3 linked regions of the Nothobranchius furzeri genome follow. The protein of the gene in region 2 purifies or fractionates together with the protein of the main gene of each other region. This does not show direct contact. Links are inferred from orthologs where the notes say so. Each region holds a gene or a part of one and is shown on either strand. Other genes may lie near its edges. The genes, in order: stx12, vti1b and stx6.

Region 1 (6,626 bases), on a different chromosome or scaffold from region 2:
ATCAAAGGACATGTTAACAGTGAAAATACAAGGCAAGAAACAGGAAAACACCACAGGTGTTTATTTGATTGAACTGTTGTTAACTAACAAACGACGGAGCTCATATTTGTGGTTAACGGTGAAACTGGTTCTGTTGGGGGGGGCATCAAAAGATTTTTGCCCCTTTGTTAAATAAAAGTTTACAAATGAAAACAGAATTCAGTTTTAATGTGAGACTTCAGTTGTTTTTAATCAAAATGAATGTTACTAATGTTTAATTTAGTTTAGATTATGAGTTAATTAATTAGAGACGAACTTGGAGATTTAAAATGTGAAATCAGGTTTTCTACGTGGAACTTCAGTCCACCTGACGGTTTGCACACAAACACATAAATGTTCTCCAGAACATGTACTGTCCGAGTTAAGAACAGGTCACCAGACAGAATAAATAACTGCTATACACGTTTAATGTGCTTCTGCGAGAACTTGTGAGGAATGGGCTGAAAACGCTGTACACTAAACCTCCAGCTCTTAACAGAACATTCAGACTAGAAATATTTGTTTAACTTTGTTTATATCCAACATCATCATCATCATCATCATCATCATCATCATCACTCGGACTCCTTTCGTCATCACCTCCGCGTTACAACAAGCGGTTCCGTTAGTCCTTCACAACTACATATTTACATTAGAAATGTGGTGACAGCTAGTGTTAGTGCACAGAAGAAATAGAGAACATCGGAAATGCTCCTCAATCCCCCCCCCCCCCCCCCCCCCCAACTCAAGCTTCAATTACAATCAGAGGCATCAATGAGCTCAGATGATCCCACGTGACTTCAGATGGTCTAGGACCAACACATCTTTAGTGAAGACTGACTGGTCCCAGTGGTGCTCCTGTTCTTCAGTTCTGCTTGCAGGTGGGACGGGGTAGAATAAAACACTGTTTGGTCAAAAACACTCATTTGGAAGAAAAATAGATGATAAGACCCAGGACCAGGAGTACTATAGAAACAACAATGGCCAGAATGCACATCTTCTTCCTGGACTTTTGCTGTGAGAAGGCAGAGACAGCAGAGAGAGAGAGAGAGAGTTAAACGCCCATTGTTAAAGCTTCCTGCATGTTTCCTCAGACTCTGATCTAAACTGCAGCCTGTGCTGTTTTGTTTTTACTGCTGTCATCAGCAGTTCACCTCTTAGAGGACTCTTTCTCCTATAAAGAGTGCAATGTTTCTGTGTTAAAGGCCAAGTTCACTGAGACATGTGAAAATAGTCTTCTACCCCTATTTCCTGCATCAGCTGCTGATGGAAAATAGACGAGGAAACTCGGATTAGAAAAGCCACTGCAAAATGTGTAGAAAACACAAGTGAACTTGGTCCTTAAGTCAGAAACAGGCTTGACTCCTTTGTTTCGGGGTTCTCACCTTTGCAAGAGTGAAACCATATTCTAATCACCCGCATGCCTCTTGGTGAGAGCATTTTTCCACCACAGAGGTTCTTTAACGACAGAAGATGGAAGAGAAGAACTCACCTGATACATAGCTGCCCTCTGCAGCTGCTCTGCTCCTCGTTCCACGTGAACTTCAGCGTTCTCCACATTTGCCTCGATGCTATCTGCAGCAGAACACAAGATCAGCTAACAGGAACAAGACAAAGCTGCCATAGAATCCATGGGCGTCATTTCTTTTGCCCACCCCTTCAGACAGAAGGATGGAAATGGAATAAATCAGGAGCATGAGAAGGGTTCCAGATGGCTACCGTTGCCCCTGATGACTCAGTCACTATTTTCATGGAAAACCTGTACATTTTGTGAACAGCGACACAAGAGTGAGGACCTCCCTGATGCTCAGGAGAGAGGTGAGAACTAAAGGGTGGCGACATTTCAAATATACTCATTCTGGTTAAGGTCAGGAGGCCTAGCAGGAAGCACAGACCAACCTTTCCCCTGCCACTCCCACCAGCTCCTCCCGTGGGACAAAAGCAGTTCCCAGACCAGGTCAGAGATACATTCCCTCCAGTGCACCATGGGTCAACCTGGATGGGACATACCCAAAACACTTCCCACAGTAGGGATCTTGGCCAAATGCTCCAGTTAGCCGCTCTGGACATGGACAGCAGTCCCACTCCGCAGGTTGTCTGATCTCTGAGGCTGGGCCCAGACACCCTGCAGAGGAAGCTCTTTTTGGTTCTCTGGCCCTGGTGGAGGAGCCGTGGACGCCTCAGAGACAGCAGCTGAGAGACAGACTCATCAGCCTATCTGACACTTATTACTACCAGAATTGTCCTAACAGACTCCTTCAAGATAATTCCTTCTCCATACGTTTTTCCATCTACACCAAACAAGAGGTTTAATCAACTCCAGGAAGACTGGGATAGACAACATTATAAAAGTGTTTGATTCACTAGGTGAACCCGAAAAACGACTCTTCAATCAACCAACAAAAACAAACATGGCCTCCTGTACATCCTTAGGTGATTATTTAACAATATCAAATGGCCCAAGTGGCTGGGGAGAGGGAAGTCTGGGCCTCTCTGCTTAGACTGCTGCCCCCACGACCTGACCCCGGATAAGTGGAGGGAAATGAATGGATGGATGGGATACATATACTGATCCAAACAAAGAAGTGGATAAACTAAATACCACAGAATTTATTACAGGTGGAAAAAAATCCAGTAGCCAATCACAAAGCTTCTTTAAGACCAATTTTTACAAGTACACACATGGCCACCTGACCCAGTATCCAGAATACTGCAACCAGTACAGAACCACTCACCAATCATCTCCCCTTGGTCGTGGATCATCACAGCCAGGTCCTTAAAGATCTGGTTCACATCCATGATGTCAGACTGAAATTAACCAACAGAAATCAGCTGCTGGTCCTCCAGTTGGTAGTGATGTCACAGGAGGTAACAGGAAGTGACGTCTCACCTCCAGCTGTCTGATGTTGGTCTCTCTCTCCTTGATCAGCTCCAGGTCCTCCTCCGTGACACCGACCTCCTCTGTCTGAGTCAGCTGACCAAAATCCTCTTGGCTTCACAAAAACAAAGGATAAAAGAAAGTCTTGTAACTTTTACTAACCCCTAAGTGATGAGAAGCACAGCCATCGTAGCCATCAGTAGGGACTCCAAGCTCAACAATTATAACGACTCATCCTTTATTCACATTTAACTCTTTGGTTACAAAGTTCCTCGAGAGACCAGATGGAAATCGCTTACTTATCAAACGAAACAAGCTTCTCATCACGAAAATTGTCTTCTGCCTAAAAGAGAAGACAAAGACACACGTTAGCCGATCCATCCTCAGTACATCAACAAGTGATTTCTGCTCCCAAGCAGAACATTTGACCTTTGACCTTAAACAGGAAGCTTATGCTGGGAAACCCTCCAATGTGGCAGCATTTAAACAATCCTGCAGAGAAGAGTGGGACAAAGATCCACCATGGTGATGTGAGAGGGTGTTAGAGCTAGCTTCCCAGTTTATTTTAGGGTTGATTTGAAGATTTGAATTCTTGTTTTTAAATGTTTGAATGGCCTTGCTCCCTCTTACTGCCGGTTTATCCCAGATCTCATCTCATAACCTGGGGCAACAGAGCCGCATCCTCTTGGTATAAGGAAGGCCAGAATGTTGGAAGATTTTAAACCTCGTTTCAAGACCCATCATTTTAAATTGGCTGTTTACTCCAGCTGATCAGAAACTGCCAAGCCGCCTTTTCTTAGCCATTTTAGGTTTGGTTAAGTTCTTGTTGACTGACCTGTACAGCACTTTGGTCTCCTTGTGATATATAAAGGGTTACTATTATTATTATTATTCTCTTACTTTGGTGGTGTGTGTGTGTGTGTTAAGGCTGTATGCTGTTGTCTCTCACAAATGTTTTTGGAGTACTTCAAATACTACCATAGTTTCCATTTTAGCACAGGTTCCAGTGGAAAACAACTCCTGTTTTATGCTCTTTTATTAATCACAATCAACATACATACATAAATAAACAAACAAATAAATAAATAAAGATTCCAATTCTGGGATCAGTCCAGTACATATTACCATTGCCTTGTCAATAACAAATAATTGATCCTTACCGATAGTCGAGATCCAGCCCTCGCTCTGGCTATCGACTCCCTCTCTTTCTCTGCTGCACGCCGCTGGACAGCCTGGAAGTTGTTGAGAGCGGCTGAGAAGTCATTCATGAGCCGCTCCCTCTGGATCTTCTGCTGCCTCTGGACACCACAGAACCAGACATCAATCATCCAATCCAACAAGCAAACCCAAACAAGAGTCAACAGCACAATCTGCCAAGGAGGTTTGGGAAGTTTTTCATGGAAGCAACCCACACACTCCACTGTTCTACAAATGTTTCTCCATTCAAGGAAACAGTCACACTTATCAATGATATTAAATTTATTACAGGAAGAATGTTACAACAGAGAAACATTGATCCTTAAAAGGGCTAAATAGCTAGCAGTTAGCTTAATTAATTCACCAGCTGTCAATGAAGAACACAAGAAGAAGAAGAAAAAAGCTTGTTTTTGTCAGCACCATGGTGGAGCCTGGAGGTAATAGTTGGAGTGTTTTGTCTTTGGAGGTGAAACAAAGAGCTTAAACCAGAGTGAACCTCACCATGGCCTACACTCATTGGAGGAAGCTAAAGGAGGCTACGAAATCACAGACTGATGGTGACCTGACTTTGTTGCTACTGGATTTTAGTAATATTATTTTTTGTCCAACAGTGTGGACATTTTTAATTTGGGGCTTACTTAGTAAGACTTGCCTCATGTTGGTGCTAGCTTGTTGTTAGCGCTAGCTACAGCAGCCTGCTGCAGGGTTGCTTACAACAATTGTAATTCCACTTTGAACCAGTAGGACGGAGAAGCTAGAAACTGTTTAGTGTTACTTTACAAACCCTTTGTCCAGAAGTCGAGTGCTGGGTTTTAGGATTGCTTCGAGGTATAAATAGGTAGCTTACTATAAACATACCAATGACAGCAGACTGGAAATATGCTTTTCTTATCATGTATTCAGTAAATATGTCAACATGAAAACTCAGAAGAACAACACAGTAGTTTTCCAACTTCTGTAGAGACAAATAAGACAAGACTGTATGAAGTAAACTTACAGTGGCTGAAGAAAAACTAAAGCAACATCACAGTAATAGATGTACTGTAACTTTATTATTATTACTGTCTGGCTAGATCAGACACAAGATTTTATCCATATCCCATCATGTCTTTAGTGGCATCTGATTGTTATGCTTTCAGTTAAACAGGTGTGTGTTTCCACACAGGCCAGGGCTGTTTGGACAAGATGTAGCCTCACAAACCTCATCTGTGAAAATGTGTGTAGAGTTTTGCACAAAGTGTAAAGAAGACATTAACCCTTTGATGCATAATGCTCACTACAGTGGACAATTAAGCACAGCTGTTGAAGACCTTGTTGCATTTTTGAGCCCCTCCATTTGGACTTCAGTAAGTCAAGCCAACATATTTCATGTTCAGAATGCACGCTGTCCACTGAGGTGGACATGTAGTAAATTAGTTGTAAATTATTAAATGTTACAAAAAATATTTGTTGAAATTTGTTTCATTCACACCTAAAGATGAATGAAAAAACTTGTTTAAAAAATCATGGTTGAAGATTTCATAATTCATGCATCGAAGGGTTAATGTTGAACAAATCAGCAGAAGTATTATTCTCCTTGGGAGTGGACTGTTTTATTTTATGGTGTAAACAATCATAAAAACTGTAGAGTCACGCAAAGATACTCCGCGGGCCACCTGCAGCATCCCTCATCCATTAACCCCTAACAGGTGTGTCAACAGAGCTAATCGGGGTAGACGTAAACCCAAGGGAGGCGTTGATGTACCTGCTCCTGTAATACTAGTGTTAGTCTCCATTAGGTGTGTGTGTGTGTGTGTGTGTGTGTGTGTGTGTGTGTGTGAGCCCGTGCACACGTGTGTGCGCACAAGTGTGTGATGATGACAAATATTTACAGACTGAGTCCTCAACAGAAGTGCATCTTTCTATCTTTCCATTTTTTAATTAAAAACCAAAAAACAAATGTTTTTTTTTATTGGATGCAAAAAAAAAAAAAGTCCAATTTTAGTCTCAGGACACGTTACGAAATGGAAAAATGGGCCACAGGACCAAATATGATTTTAATTAGTGATGTCAAAGTCAAAGCAAACATCTGGTCTCTGATTGGCCAACAGCCAAGTGACTGTTCCACTGCCTTTGTTCCACTTTATTATGTTATAAAACATCAGCGTTATATTATTTTATTATAATTTATGATTTTATTATGATAATATAACGCTGATGTTTTATAACATCAGCGTTATATTATTTTATTATAATTTATGATTTTATTATGATAATATAACGCTGATGTTTTATAACACAAGCCTGAAGATGTTCAACCATGTTGTGGAGTCACAAATGCTAATGGTTAGCTTCTACTAGTCGGGATACACTCTGCTCTCTCTTTCCTGTGGGCAGTCCCAAGCCAGGGTGGGCGGGGCCTGTGACAGAGACTGGCTTTCTCTGACTTGCTCATTTCCATATCTATTTTCCTTCTATTCCAGCAAATATGGTTTGTAGACTATTTTCATGCTCAGCATGCAGGTGAAACTCAGCATGACCAATCGCATTTTAA
Region 2 (7,417 bases):
CCAGCGAATTACCTTTGTTAAGTTTTGTTCCTGAAGCGGATTCACTCCCTTATGGTTACGTGCAGCCAGCGAGGTACGTTAACTGTGTTTATTTATAGCGTACTTGTTAACTTGGGTTAATGTTCATTTGTAATATTTATGTTTGGTTATTCTGTACTTTGGTGTAATGACAGTTTGACGGTGGATTAATGGTGTTTTGGAGGAGAAGTGTGAAGGAAGAATAAATCCATCAGTGAATGAAGAACCGTGGTGTCGTCTATTAACCGGAGGGAGCGAAAGTCAGAATACTCAGCAATTCTCCAGTGAAACAATCGACAAACAGCACAAACTAAACCCGCCTTTTTCTTTTATTTTTAATATTTATATATTTTTAATAACTGCCTGTACAAACAGATATATTGTACTCTTTGTCATTGATATCCACACTGTTGGTGTGATGTGACAGTGTATCCAGATGCCTTGGTTGTGTAACAATCTTGGCTGATAAAGTGGATTCTGATGATAGAAAGACAACAGCTGCCACCACCTCTTCATTCGCTTCGCCCCCTTTCTCTTTCACTTCTGTCCTCATGTCAGTTGGGATTTAAAGCAACCGAAAATATTTCTAGTAAAGTTTTGGTATCACGCTCCACCTGTGAAAGTAAAACTGTAAGGCTTGTCTTTTAGCCTAGTGAACTAGACCAAATTCTTGCTTTGCAAAGTTTGGTCTAGGAACGCTCCACTGGAACCTCTGCAGCCCCAACAGCATTCAGGCTGGCCAATCACAGCTCTCTAGAGGGGTTTCAAACACATAAAGAGCTGTGATTGGTCCATAATGGTGGGCCAATCATAGCGCTCTATCTGCTTAGTGAACTAATCACAGAGCTTTATCCGCTTTGTGGGCCAATCAGGGCACTCTATATGCCTGGTGGGTGGGATGATGCAACAGAGCAAAACAAGTAGGGATGGGTATCGAATTCGGTACTTTTTAAGGTACCGACCGAGCAACGATTCACGTTGTTTCAAACGGTGCCTCGTTTTGGTACCCGTCCTTCATAACGAGAACTTGCCAAGACAGCTGCGCATGCGCAAGAGCGTTATGTCGTCGGTCCCTGCGAGCGTGTTGTAAACAGAGCAGCATGGTAGAAAGAACGCACGCTAACGCTTGGGTCCACTTCACTAAATGTGATGGGTAACTGGGTGATGATGAAACCAGCGACATACAACGATTTAAGTGAGACATCCTCATCTTAATCTGCTCCGTTAGGTAAATAAAATGTTTAAGATAACGTTACCTTGATATATTAGCTTCCGTTTCACTAATGGTGCGTTCGCTTTCTCCTCGGAACTCCGAATTTCCAACTAGAACATGAACGCGCTCTAAAGTTTGGCTTCACTTTACTAAATGCGACGGGTGATTGGGTGAAGATGAAACCAGTGACAACGATCTAAGTGTGAGGCATTATTGTTTTAATCTGCTCCAGCAGTTAAATAAACTGTTAAAGATAACGTTAGCTTGATATGTTAGCTTCCATTGCCACCGTTGTTATCAGCTAATGGTGCGTTCGCTTTCTCCTCGGAAATTCTAACTTCCCAGTAGGAAAAATTAAATGAAAAAAGACGGCAAAAGGAATGAAGATACACAGTAAATTTAGTTCACAGTAAAGATGTTTGCTTCAGTTTAATTATCAGCTTATAAAACTACAAGGACAATGTTAATACAAACAGTTGAATGTTATTTATCGTGATATTTGTCAAATGTTGTTATATATTGAGAAAAATATATATTTAATTATAAAAGAGAATTAAAATAATAAACACTCAAAAGTATCGAAAATTGGTACCGTTAAGTACCGGTATCGATTCGTAGGTACCGGGAATTAGTACCGAATCGATTCAAATGTCAAAGGTACCCATCCCTAGAAACAAGAGTATGTCACATTCATTGTCCAGTAGCATGCGGAGATCATTTGAAAGACAACGGTTGAACCTGCCCCACAACTGAGAGCCATAATTAGAGCGTTGCCAGACTAAATAATACAATTAATAATACTACTTATCTTTGGCATTCAGACATCAATTCTGATTGCTTCACAGCCGGACAGGACACCGTAAAAAAATAAATAAAAAGACAACAGCAGCTCCAACAATCACTCGTTCCTCCCAAGGTCTGCAGAACAGCATCTCTGAACCACAACATGATGATGCCTGAAGCAGATCCAGCAGCAGAAAACCACATCAATGTGTCTCTCCTGTCAGCTAAGAAAAGGATACTGAGGCTTCAATTCATCTGGTGTCACCAACATGAAAGCATGGGTCCATTCTGTCTTGCATCAATGCTTTAAGCTGCTGCTGGTGGCATTCTTGTCCCACTTTGGACCCCTTAGTACCAGCTGAGCCTAGTTTAAGTACCACAACCTTGTTGCTGACCATACATGTCTATCACTTTATGACCACATGGACCCATTTTTTGATACTACTTCAAGCACGATCATGCACCATGTCACAAAGCTCAGAGCATCTCTAACTGGTTTCTAGAACATGACGATGAGTTCACTGGACAAAAACGGCCTCCACGGTCACCAGATCTCAGTCCAGAACTTATGGAATGTGGTGGAGTAGGAGGTTTTCCTTATGAACAGAGCTGTGTGATGTTATGTTAATATGGACCAGAACTTCTAAGGAAAGTTTCCAACATCTTGTTGGATCAATGACATGAAGAGAGAAGGTAGTTCTGATCTAACCCTGCAGATACAAGGTGTACCGAATAAAGTTGGCAGTGTGAGGCACGTATTTAAGCATCTTCCTCTGTGTTTTTAACACTGAAGTTTAATAGACTTTTGATTTAATGATTACTGCACTACCTCTCTGCTTAAAGTGTAAAGCTGCGTTTTTACCAGGCCCCCACAATGTGGCTTTAAATTTGAGGCCAACCCGGAAGTAAGAGAAATTGCAGTTCCACCCTCATCCGCTGGGGGCTGGTGTCAGAAACGAGCAAATCCTCATTGACTCCCATGTTAAAAATGCCAATTTCACAGCAGAAATAAACATGTTTACAGCCTGGTACCAAAACATGTTTTTTGTTTAAATGATCTAGTTTATACTCATGACAACTCTGAGGGGGGTGAATTTTTTTTCTCACTCTTCTGTTTAAGTGTATTAAAAGCCTAAAATTCTGTATAATTAATGAGCATCCGACACACGTGACCACAGAGCTAGCTCCGTGGAAAGGCCTCAGTAGAGCCTCAGTCTGGCTTGGAAACTGTTCCGGGATTTTGAGTCTCTGTGTTTGTGTATTCTTTTTTGGATATTTTTTGTGCAATTGTTGGACAAAATGACTTGCTGTGGCATTAATTGCACTAATAGAGCGTCCAAGGAGTCTCCACTTCATTTTTTTCGGTAAGTAAAATTATATTTATGTATTTTAGGTCACTGCCAAGCTGAGCTTAGATTTTAACATGTACTGTTTAACCATGAAATTTAAATGTAATAGGGTAAAACCCAGTGCATTTAACACAATGCTGCACTTTAGAAAATGGGTTGAAATATAACATGTTGGTGGAGCTGGGTTCCGACTATCGGCTTGTGGAGCTCTCGGGAGACCGATGTTTTCCACCCAGAATGCCGGCTGTTTCTCCCCGCAGCCTGGTCCATCTCTGTCTGATCGCGGCTCCTGTTAGCTGCGCGGGCTAACGGCTGGTTCTCCCAGCAGCTCGGCGCATCGCTGTCTGATCGCGGCTTCTGTGTGCTGCGGCGGGCTGACGGCTGGTTCTTATGGCAAGCCAGAACCGCCAAAATACGCCACTTCTCCCCGCAGCTCGGCGCATCTGTCTGATCGCAGCTTCTGTTTGCTGCAGCGAGCTGACGGCTGGTTCTCCCAGCAGCTCGACGCATCTGTCTGATCGCGGCTTCTGTGTACTGTGCGGCTGCCGGCTTGTGGAGGTCTCCGAGACCTCTGGGTTCCACCGTATTTTACCCAGCGGTCAGCCCGGCGTACCTCTGACTCAGAAGCTCTGGTGTTGTGCACAGTTAACTCCAGTTGTAGCTAGGTTGCTACCTCCGATAGCTTAGCTCCCACATCCGCATTAGCTTTGGGTTAGCTTCAGGTTAGCTTGTAGATAGCTCGACCGGGTGTTGTCAGTTGATCCCAGCCTTACAGCCCCACCCTCAGCTCCTCCTCTCTTCCCTTTTGTGGAATTGTCTGGGCTTGACGGAACCTGTGACACGGTCAAAATGGCGGTGGTGGCCACCTCCCATTTAGCCTCAAAAACGTGTTATTGGAGTCTATGGAAACCCATTGTCCATATATTAATGTCGATGGTTTTTACACACAAGATGCATTCAGCTACATTAGCTTTAGCATCACAGCCAGTCATTGTACTTATGTTGATGTTTTGCGGTAATAATTACAGCAAACTCTTGGCCTTATTTATAACACTCACTGTTAATAAATAACAAACAGAAACAAGTGAAGATGTTGACGTAAACAAACGTTTTTACCACTTCATCAGCTTCCCCCTGTCTCTCATCGAAGGTCCTCACCAGTCTCTTCCTCTCCTCTGCATTAGGAACAGAACAAGTTCGAGGTTTAAACCAAGAAGGTTTTGTTATTTGACACTTAAACGAGGTTAAATGAGGGAACAACGGGTTTATTTACCTCCGGTACAGCTGAGAGCCTTCTCTGGGATTAGCTTTAGCTCGTCATACAAGGATCTGTAGATTTCGTGTAACTTCTCAAATTCTTCCGACGACATTTTCCGTCAATGTAATCTCGCTGTCTGTCATAAAAAGGCCACCTGTACCTTTTTCTTTAAAGGACGGAACGAACTACACAAGTGGATCAACTGCTTGTGCTTCGATGAGACTCTTCCGCTGCCGCATGACGACTCTCGTGACCAAGTGCCTAAACTTTACAACATTGCTACAAATTTGAAGTATTCACATGCTAAACGTTCGGTGAAATTTATTTCAATACTGAAGATGAATGTGACAATACCATCAATATGCTTAACACTATTTAAATGTCTTACAAGTTATTTTAACGTATTTTATTCAGGCACGAAGGTAGACAGCTTTAAACGGTCTCTGGGAACTGTAGTTTTTCCGCTAATTCTTCTAAAAAAGATTTGAAACATTTGTTAAAAGACAACTGAAACATCATAAAATAAGATAAACTATTACTAGTCACTACAATATTAAATAAAAATGAACGAAGTTTATATTAGTGTGCATTTACTTTGTCTGTTTACATTATTTTCTAGCCAGGCTATTTCCTAAAACAATAATGGGCCTAAATTATAGATACATTATAATAATAATCAATTTTGTACAGAATTATTGTTTTATAAATTATTTACTATTTAGATACAAGGCTACCTATAAAGAATAGCAAGATACCTGGATGATGTCCCGATTGAAACACCTTTGGTTGACGTGGTTCTGACTGCCATATGCGTCGCTCAAAAAACTATCCTCATGAATTGGAAAAATAGAGATACTCTTTGCATTAACCAGTATATAAATCTTTTGTTGGATCATATTACACTTGAGACAGCCTCTTCTTCCACTTCAAATCAATCTATATGGGCTCCTTTGATCGGTTCCATCACATAGAGGTGATTGTGTGTGTGTGTGTGTGTGTGGGGGGGGGGGGGGGGTTGTCATTGATACTGTCCTGCGGGATGATGTGGGTGATGGGGTGGAGGGTCTGCGCTTGCAGTATCCGGACGTTCCTTGGAGGTGGATTCACTGGGGGTGTCTGGGGCTGGGGGGCTGCTGTCCCACTCTGGAGGCGCTTGGGTTGCCTCGAGGGGTGGATTACTGGCGGTTGTGAGTGGAGCCCCTTGGGGGGTCTTGACGGTGGCGATGGGTTGCTGCCTGGTGGCTGCATCACCCCTGAGTGGGTCTGGGTGGGGGCCTGGGGGCTAAGGGTGTGGGGGTAGCTGGCCCCCATGTGGGGATCTGGGCGGGGCCTTGGGGATTGGCTCCTAACTTGTATGCTGCTGGGAAGAAGGCGGGAACACACGGCGGTGCCTGGCCCAGGCTCAGGGGCCTCAGGTGGACCTTGGCTCCTCTGAAATAATAACAATTCTGTCACATCACGGGGGAGGGGGTTGTCCAGGAGGGGGAGGACCCAACCTTACCTGATGTCTTATGTCTTACATATTCTGGAAGTTGTGCAAATGCAGGGATGGGAGTAGATATTCTGCTGGGGTGGGGCTGGGTTGGTGCCCTCGGACTCCGTAGGGCTCTGCGATGCTGCTGCTTTGGGCCCTGGCTAGGTGGGCTGGGGTCTCCATGCCCTGGGTGGCATTTTGGGAACAGAGGTGCCTATTGGGGCCAGTGGAGGAGCTAGCTCCCTGGAGGGCTTAGGCCAATCAACCATTCCTCCACATCCCCATACATTTTTTTTTCCTCCTGCTCCCTCACATCATCACACAAACATGCACATAGGATCATGGGGGGTGGGCAAGTCAGGGGGTACAGGTATGGATCCCATTTCCGCATTCCTGAGACAGCCTGCCCCCCAATTTTATTTGCACATTAAGCACTTCCACCAATGACATTCGACGTAAACACACACTTAGGGCTTTGGGAGTGAGCACACTCAACGGCATTTGGCAAGGGGATCTTTCAGCCTCATCCCGAGTGCCGGTGCCCACTTCCAATATTAAACTTCACTTAGATACAGAGGGCTGTGGGGGGAAGTGGGGTTGTGTGGTGGCATCAGCTAGCGTAGGCCAGACGATGCCCGCACTGCCCGCTCACCACAACCATGGAATACACCTCATCAACACACACTAACACTGTATTGGAGCAGGCAGAGGGAGACTAGGGGTCTTAGCACACCTGTGTTGTCGCTTTTTCACGTGTCTGAGCAGAACCTCCCTGAACCGTCTACAGGTGGTTCAGAATGTCTGTGCTCGGCTTCTGACCTAGTCCTCCAAACACACCCACATCACCCCGCTTCTCCTCCAGCTTCATTGGCTGTCAGTCAACTTCAGGGTTCATTTCAAGACCCTGGTTCTGGTCTATAGGGCCTTACATGGACAAGCACCATCTTACATTGGTGATCTTCTCAGTCCCTACACCCCCAGCAGGTCCCTGAGGTCCAGTGATCAAAGCCTACTGGTTGTGCAGCACCAGGCTAAAGACCAAAGGTGACAGATCATTTGCTGCTGTGGCCCCCAGACTCTGGACCTCTCTCCCCCTGAGCCTGAGATCAGTGAACTCAGTGGGCTCCTTTAAAAAGCAGCTGAAGACTCACTTGTTCAAGCTGGCTTTTGTATGACCTTCTTCACCACTCTCTCTTTATTCTGCTCTCCCCACCTATTCCACCTTCCTCAAGATCCACTGATTTCCCTCTTTCCTGTTCACTTTCTCTCTTTCTCAACATTTTTAATCACAATTGCCTATTTTTGCTCATTTTAAATACATT
Region 3 (7,105 bases), on a different chromosome or scaffold from region 2:
AGAAGGTTTGGTGTGGGAAGCAAGCTGACCAAGAGAGTCTCTGACTTTGGGAACCAGCTTGTCTGGGGCACAGATGAGGATCTCAGTCTTATCTTCATTCAGCTGAAGAAAGCTCCCACCATCCAGGTTCTGATAGAGTCTAAGCAGGTGTGTAACAGCTGCAGCTTAGACATCTCATGGGGCTTAAAGGAGATGTACAGTTGGATGTCATCTGCATAAAGAAGCCGTTGTAGCATATAATTGACGAACACTTTTAAATTTCAGTACAACTTAGACTAGATTAGTTTGCCAACCCGTATATAAAAAGTCAAATGTTGTTCCATAAAATATTTATGAACTATAAATATCAGCTAGGAAGGAGGGAACGAGACAACACCAATTTAACATCTGTTGTTGAGCCTTTTATAATTTTGTTTTTTTATTTTCAAATTTTTAGCTGCAGACCATAATCTCCTTTCACTTGAAATGTCGTCAAGTAGAATACTCGATTAATCGATGGAAGATTCGATAAAATACTGGAATACTGAAATATTCGATAGCTGCAGCCCTGGTGCAGGAACTGATCTGGTTCTGACAGGACAGATGTTGTCCAGGATGGAGAGGCAGTACTCATTAAACTGAGAAGTTGAGGAATCTGGGTCATTATCAGAAGAACAGGGTGGATCAAAAGCAGCAGAACATTTGCTGGCTGTTCCACCACATCCCAAAGGTGCTCTAGTGCCAAGTGTGTAAAAAAATATCCTGCACACCATTACACTACCACCACCAGCCTGAACCGCTAATACAAGGCAGGATGCATCCATCCCTACCATCCGAGTGTTGCAGCAGAAATCAAGACTGATCAGACCAAACAACATTTTTCCAGTCTTCTATTGTCCAGTTGTGGTGAGCCTGTGTGAAATGTAGCCTCAGTTTCCTGTCTTTAGCTGACAGGAGTGTGACCCGGTGTGGTCTTCTGCTGCTGTAGCCCATCTGCCTCAAGGTTCCACGTGTAGTGCATTCAGATATGCTCTTCTGCATACCTTTTTTTAATTTGTTCATTTCAGGCACAACAAAATACATATATAAAACATAAAGTGCTGGTTGTACCCAGTGGTTATTTGAGTTCCTGTTGCCTTTCTATCAGCTCGAACCAGTCTGGCCATTCTCCTCTGACCTCTGACCTCAACAAGGCCTTTTCACCCACCGACCTGCTGCCCGCAGGGTGTTTTCCCTTTTTCAGACCATTCTCTGTAAACCCACTGTGTGTGTGTGTGTATATATATATATATATATATATATATATATATATATATATATATATATATATATATATATATATATATATATATATACGATATATATATATATATATATAGTATTTATATATCGTATTTATATATATATATATAATACCATATATAGATAGAAATAGATATAGTATTTATATATATATAGTATTTATATATCGTATTTATATATATATATAATACCATATATAGATAGATATAGATATAGTATTTATATATATTGTGTATATATATCTCATTTCAAGATCCTGGTTCACCCCCAGCAGGTCCCTGAGGTCCAGTGACCACAGCCTACTGGTTGTGCAGCACCAGGCTAAAGGTCAAAGGTGACAGATCATTTGCTGCTGTGGCCCCCAGACTCTGGACCTCTCTCCCCCTGAGCCTGAGATCAGTGGACTCAGTGGTCTCCTTTAAACTCACCTGTTCAGGATTTGGAGTGACCTCCATCACCTCTCTCTCCTTATTATGTTCTTTCTACTTGTTCCACCTTTCCCAGGAAGAAGAAGAAGAAGAAAATATCATTTCTATAGCGCCTCTCAAGATAAAAATCATGAGGCGCTTCACAAAAACAAAAAAAAAATGTAAAAATATAAAAAACAATTTAGAAAATGATTAAAAATATATTTAAAATGAGCAAAAATAGACAATTGTGATTAAAATGTTAAGAAAGAGAGAGAGTGAACAGGAAAGAGGGAAACCAGTGGATCCTGAGGAAGGTGGAATAGGTGGGGAGAGCAGAATAAAGAGAGAGAGGTGAAGAAGGTCATACAAAAGCCAGCTTGAACAAGTGAGTCTTCAGCTGCTTTTTAAAGGAGACCACTGAGTCCACTGATCTCAGGCTCAGGGGGAGAGAGGTCCAGAGTCTGGGGGCCACAGCAGCAGATGATCTGTCACCTTTGACCTTTAGCCTGGTGCTGCACAACCAGTAGGCTTTGATCACTGGACCTCAGGGACCTGCTGGGGGTGTAGGGACTAAGAAGATCACCAATGTAAGATGGTGCTTGTCCATGTAAGGCCCTATAGACCAGAACCAGGATCTTGAAATGAACCCTGAAGTTGACTGGCAGCCAGTGAAGCTGGAGGAGAAGCGGGGTGATGTGGGTGTGTTTGGAGGACTTGGTCAGAAGCCGAGCACAGGCGTTCTGAACCACCTGTAGACGGTTCAGGGAGGTTCTGCTCAGACACGTGAAAAGAGAGTTACAGTAGTCTAAGCGTGAGGAGATGAAGGTGTGGAGAACTGTCTCAAGTTCAGAGCGGGACAGAATGGGACTCAGCTTAGCAACGTTCCTGAGATGGAAGAAGGAAGAGCCAACAAGAGAACTGACATGAGAATCCAGGATGAGAGCTGGGTCAAAGGATCCACTGTTTTCCCTCTTTCCTGTTCATTTTCTCTCTCCATTTCCTAGCATTATTTTTCATCACCATTTTTCTCTCTCTCATTTTGAACATATTTTTAATCATCTCTGAAATCTTTTTTATGCCTTAATTCATTTTTTATTGGTGAAGTGCCTCGTAATTTTTATTTTGAGAGGTGCTTTTATAAAAGATTGTTTTCTTTCACTACATGTATTTCAGAAACCGCTGATCTGAGAGTGTCACACACAACCATCTCCAGGGTTTACAGAGAATGGTCTGAAAAAGGGAAAACACCCAGTGGGCAGCAGGTCTGTGGGTGAAAAGACATTTGAATACCATTCACTCATGATTTTTAAGCGAAAAACAACAAAGGCCTACCCCGCGTTGACCGTACTACATACTGTATACGCGCAGGGGAATTCTGATCGAGGGCTGGACAGACCAGCCAGAACGGAACCAGCCTTCTAGAGCTAACAGCTGCTGCCCACGGCACCGGAAAATAGTCGTGGCTCGAGCTTTATGCGGATGCTAGCTTTAGTTTAGTGCAGATAACCAATGCTTCTGACCCTTTAACGACGAAGAATGGATCTTCCATGGACATCTTTCCGCTTCGCGTTCAGTCCACTAACCAGATTCTTCAGTCTGGCTCTGCTGCGAGGGCTTTGTTCCGATTACAGCCCGGTTCTGGTCATCGCCTCGTCTCTCTGTGCTTTGTTTACATGTAGCAATGAAGCGTCAATTGGAATCGTAGCATGTTCAAGGAAGATCCCGTCTTTCTCGCCTTTGATTGGCTGCAAGGGCTCTCCGAAAGGCTGCAGACCCGGACCGCGTTATCACTTTACACCACAGACTGCACTAAGCGGTGGAAGACGGTTTGCTGCTAAATGGAAATAGCCAATCGTAGTAGAGACGTTCTAGCCAATCAGAGGCGAGAAAGGCAGGAACTTCCTGGGACATCCTACGATTCCAAATCACGTTAGCGGCAACCATTCCGTCACATCCGTGCAGGAAGTAAGTTTTATTTTTCAAAACTTTATTGAAAAATTAACAATTATAAAACAAAAACTCCATATTTAAACATAACTTAAAATAACAACACTATATAATCAAAAACACAACAAAGTATCTGTTAAAATATTCTTAAACCACTTTTATTTTAGTTTTCAATTTTGGCATTTTAAGTTACTGTTGGTAATAGAGATACAATACTCATTCAGATCAGGTTCTTTGAAATTATTAAATCATGGGGATTTTGTATGTAAATATTTAGCTAATATAATATTAAAAGTACATCTATTATATATACTTCATCAGTGGAAAAAATTAGCTGTAGAAACTTAGCCTAGCGAACTAGACCAAATTCTTGCTTTGCAAATAAATAATACATTTATTTAGTCTGGCTTGCCAGGCTAGTAGAAACTGTCATGTATTGGGAACGTGATGACGTAACGCAGGGGTGTCAAACTCAAACTCACACGGGGCCGAAATGAAACTCTGGGACGGAGTCAAGGGCCAAACTTAATATTTTTGAAAAAGTGATGGCAAATTTGCACATTTTCTTTATCAACATATATGCAATTTTGAACCTTTAAATTTGGAAACAAACATATTTCTGCATTAACACTGAATGTGGAATAACCAAATTACACACGAGCAAGTCGGTTTTAAATAAAAGGCATCAGTGGTATTCATTACTTGTGGTATAATCAGCATTTTTAAAATCTTTTCAGGATTTATGTTTTCTTGTTTATTCATTTTTCTTATTTTTTATTCTCCTTTTTTTCTCCTGTAATACGTGTCATCGCTGCTGTGACGTCTAGCTTTTCCCACTGAGGAACAATAAAGAGATTTTCTATTCTATTCATCTATCTGCAGCCTTTCCACTTCCTGTTTACTGTAGGTTAAATCTTTGCTCACGGGCAGGGCCGGCGTTAGGCCCGGCTACTTGGGCTGAAGCCCTGGATGTTTCATGATAAGCCCCGGATCTAAATCGTGGAAGTAACATGCAGTACCAAAGTCCAACAGAGAGGGAGCAGCTGGCAGTAGTTTGTATACAGCCTGCCTGAGCCTCCACCACTGAAGAAGAAGCCCTTCAGCAGCCGGCTTCTTCTACACTCTCTGCCTGAAACGCATGAGTGAAGATGGACATAAGGACGTTTTTAGACCAAAAGTACGGCGACAGAACCCCAGCTTTGATGAGACTGGTGTTGACTCAGGTTTGTGAGTCTTATTAGAAAATATTTGTTGTGCTGCTGGTTTGCCTAAAGTTAGCTTACTATCAGGTAAAGTTGTTGGAGAAAGAACGGGAATATTTACTATCATCTCACACTAAACACTAACAGGAACAATACTCTGCCCTGAAAATGCTTAATATGTAGCTTCAGATTAAAAATTATGTGGTACAAGACAAATATATATGATGTTGACTAGTGCGTGTCATGTGTGTGTGTGTGCACGCGTGCATGTGTGCGTTAAGCCCCGGATCTTCTTCAGTCCTAAATCCGCCCCTGCTCACGGGCCAACAACAAAATACAAATATCATTTAATCTTAAATGAAAATGCAACATCTCACCTGTTAACTTTCATGTTTTGGAGCAGAAAAAGAGCATAAAACCAACATATTTAAAGCTCAGTTTGCTCCACTGGTTTACTGTGATGCTCACCTGTTCCAGCCAGATACCTGCATCATGGGGTTGGTCTGAGCTGAGGAGGAGACTCCTGTTGTTTTGCTCATCTTCATCATAATAATGACAACATTAGATGACAACAGGTGCTCACATAGGTTTGTGCTGATGAACATGTCTGAGCAGCTTGAGCACGTTGTTGTGTGTCGGGGAGGAAACACGACCACAGAGTCGTGCTGGTTTGAGCGTGTCGCTGCTCGCTGGAGTTATATCGGCTCTGTCTGGACGTTAGTTGGAAAACTTCTCTTTCAGTCGTGAACACATTACTGAGCGGCTAGAATCTCCGTTTCTGGGCTTCAACGTCAGAAAACAGCTGAGTGAACTCGGCGCTGAGTGAGAGGAGTGTTTAGTTTGTCCGAGACAGCAGAGCTGCTGACACCGGCAGCAGGCGCTGGAAAAAACACAAAGGAGGGGGCGCGTCGGCTGCGCGCTGACGCCGCAAAGCATCATGGAAGTTGTAGTCTTTGCGGTAAAATCGGCCAGCGGGCCAGTTTTAATATATTTTTGATATTTATCTCGCGGGCCACATAAGAATGCTCCGCGGGCCTCATCTGGGGGGTGGGGTGGGGTGGGGGTGGGGGTTTGTTGCCTGTCTCCAGCAGTCAATGGGCAATCAGACGGGGTACACCCTTTACAGAGAGCCAGGCAACACAGAGACACTCACACATGCACAGGGAGAACATGCAAACCACGCAAAAAGATCCCAGGCTGGGAAGCGAACCCAGGACCTTCTCGCTGCAAGGAAACAGCTCTAACCACTGTGCCACTGAGCAGCCCCAATTCAGAATGTCCTATCTCATTAATAAAGTAAGATCGACACACACAACAATGGTGACGAGGATGACGGAGACGAGTGTTTGAAAACAGGACTTTTTTTTTTAAGTGGCGGAGTTGGACGCGAAAGTTGCGTTCACGATGGAGAAGACGGGGATCCAGCCATTTGCATGCTACACAGAACCTGCTACTCTCGGATCAAGATGGACGCGATAGCTGACGTTGTTCGAGTTGTATGCAGACGAGAAAGGTCTTATCATCGCCGACGGGACGTCTGATGTGATGGCGCAGCGGAGACGCGCTCTTTTACTGCACCTGGCCGGACAGGACGTTCATATTAAAACAACTCCAAAATGGGCTCAAGCTAATGGAGAAGTGGAATGGCAAAATGCATTGCTGATGAAGAGGATCAGGATTGCTCAGGCCGAAGGACTTGAGTGGCAGAAGGAATTGAGAAGATGTGTGGCAGTGTACAGAGGACTCGAACATCCTACCACCGGGAAAAGTCCAGCGGAACTCCTGTTTAACCGGAAAATAAGAGGAAAGTTACCAGAACTGTGTGGGTCGAGCACAACAGCGTTGGACGTTCGTGACAGAGCCGCAGAACAAAAGGGTCAGTTAAAGCTGTACGCAGATGAGCGAAGAGCAGCACTGTATTCAAAAGTGGATGTTGGAGAGACGGTACTGATGAAACAGGACAAGATGGACAAGTTTAAATGATAAATGACCCGCACTTGTATAGCGCCTCTCAGAGTAAGGACTCCAAAGCACTTTACACTACAGTGTATCATTCATCCATTCACACACTGTCTATGGTCACATCACACACTGGTGGGGATGAGTTACGATGCAGCCACAGCTGCCCTGAGGCGCACTGACAGAGGTGAGGCAGCCGAGCACTGGCACCACCGGTCCCTCCAACCACCACCAGCAGGCAAGGTGGGTTAAGTGTCTTGCCCAAGGACACAACAGCAGAATTCTCTGTCCAGAGCTGGGATCGAA

What was found.
Region 1: the proteins of vti1b (region 2) and stx12 purify together in Homo sapiens (affinity purification with mass spectrometry; 3 studies listed by BioGRID and IntAct, counting the BioPlex papers as one, with this or other methods). This does not show direct contact. The link is inferred for Nothobranchius furzeri from reciprocal best matches to the Homo sapiens genes VTI1B and STX12.
Region 3: the proteins of vti1b (region 2) and stx6 purify together in Homo sapiens (affinity purification with mass spectrometry; 3 studies listed by BioGRID and IntAct, counting the BioPlex papers as one, with this or other methods). This does not show direct contact. The link is inferred for Nothobranchius furzeri from reciprocal best matches to the Homo sapiens genes VTI1B and STX6.

What each region holds. Positions count from the first base shown.
Region 1 is NC_091751.1:25,518,961-25,525,586, forward strand, and holds the end of stx12 (syntaxin-12), read right to left. Parts: intron 4,195-6,626; coding exon 4,057-4,194; intron 3,240-4,056; coding exon 3,196-3,239; intron 3,012-3,195; coding exon 2,909-3,011; intron 2,827-2,908; coding exon 2,754-2,826; intron 1,594-2,753; coding exon 1,511-1,593; intron 1,034-1,510; coding exon 941-1,033; 3' UTR 762-940; downstream 1-761. UniProt on the Homo sapiens protein: SNARE promoting fusion of transport vesicles with target membranes. Together with SNARE STX6, promotes movement of vesicles from endosomes to the cell membrane, and may therefore function in the endocytic recycling pathway.
Region 2 is NC_091758.1:18,876,154-18,883,570, forward strand, and holds the start of vti1b (vesicle transport through interaction with t-SNAREs homolog 1B), read right to left. Parts: upstream 4,866-7,417; 5' UTR 4,734-4,865; coding exon 4,637-4,733; intron 4,539-4,636; coding exon 4,480-4,538; intron 1-4,479. UniProt on the Homo sapiens protein: V-SNARE that mediates vesicle transport pathways through interactions with t-SNAREs on the target membrane. These interactions are proposed to mediate aspects of the specificity of vesicle trafficking and to promote fusion of the lipid bilayers.
Region 3 is NC_091748.1:80,949,126-80,956,230, forward strand, and holds the start of stx6 (syntaxin-6), read right to left. Parts: upstream 4,918-7,105; 5' UTR 3,247-4,917; coding exon 3,212-3,246; intron 1-3,211. UniProt on the Homo sapiens protein: SNARE promoting movement of transport vesicles to target membranes. Targets endosomes to the trans-Golgi network, and may therefore function in retrograde trafficking.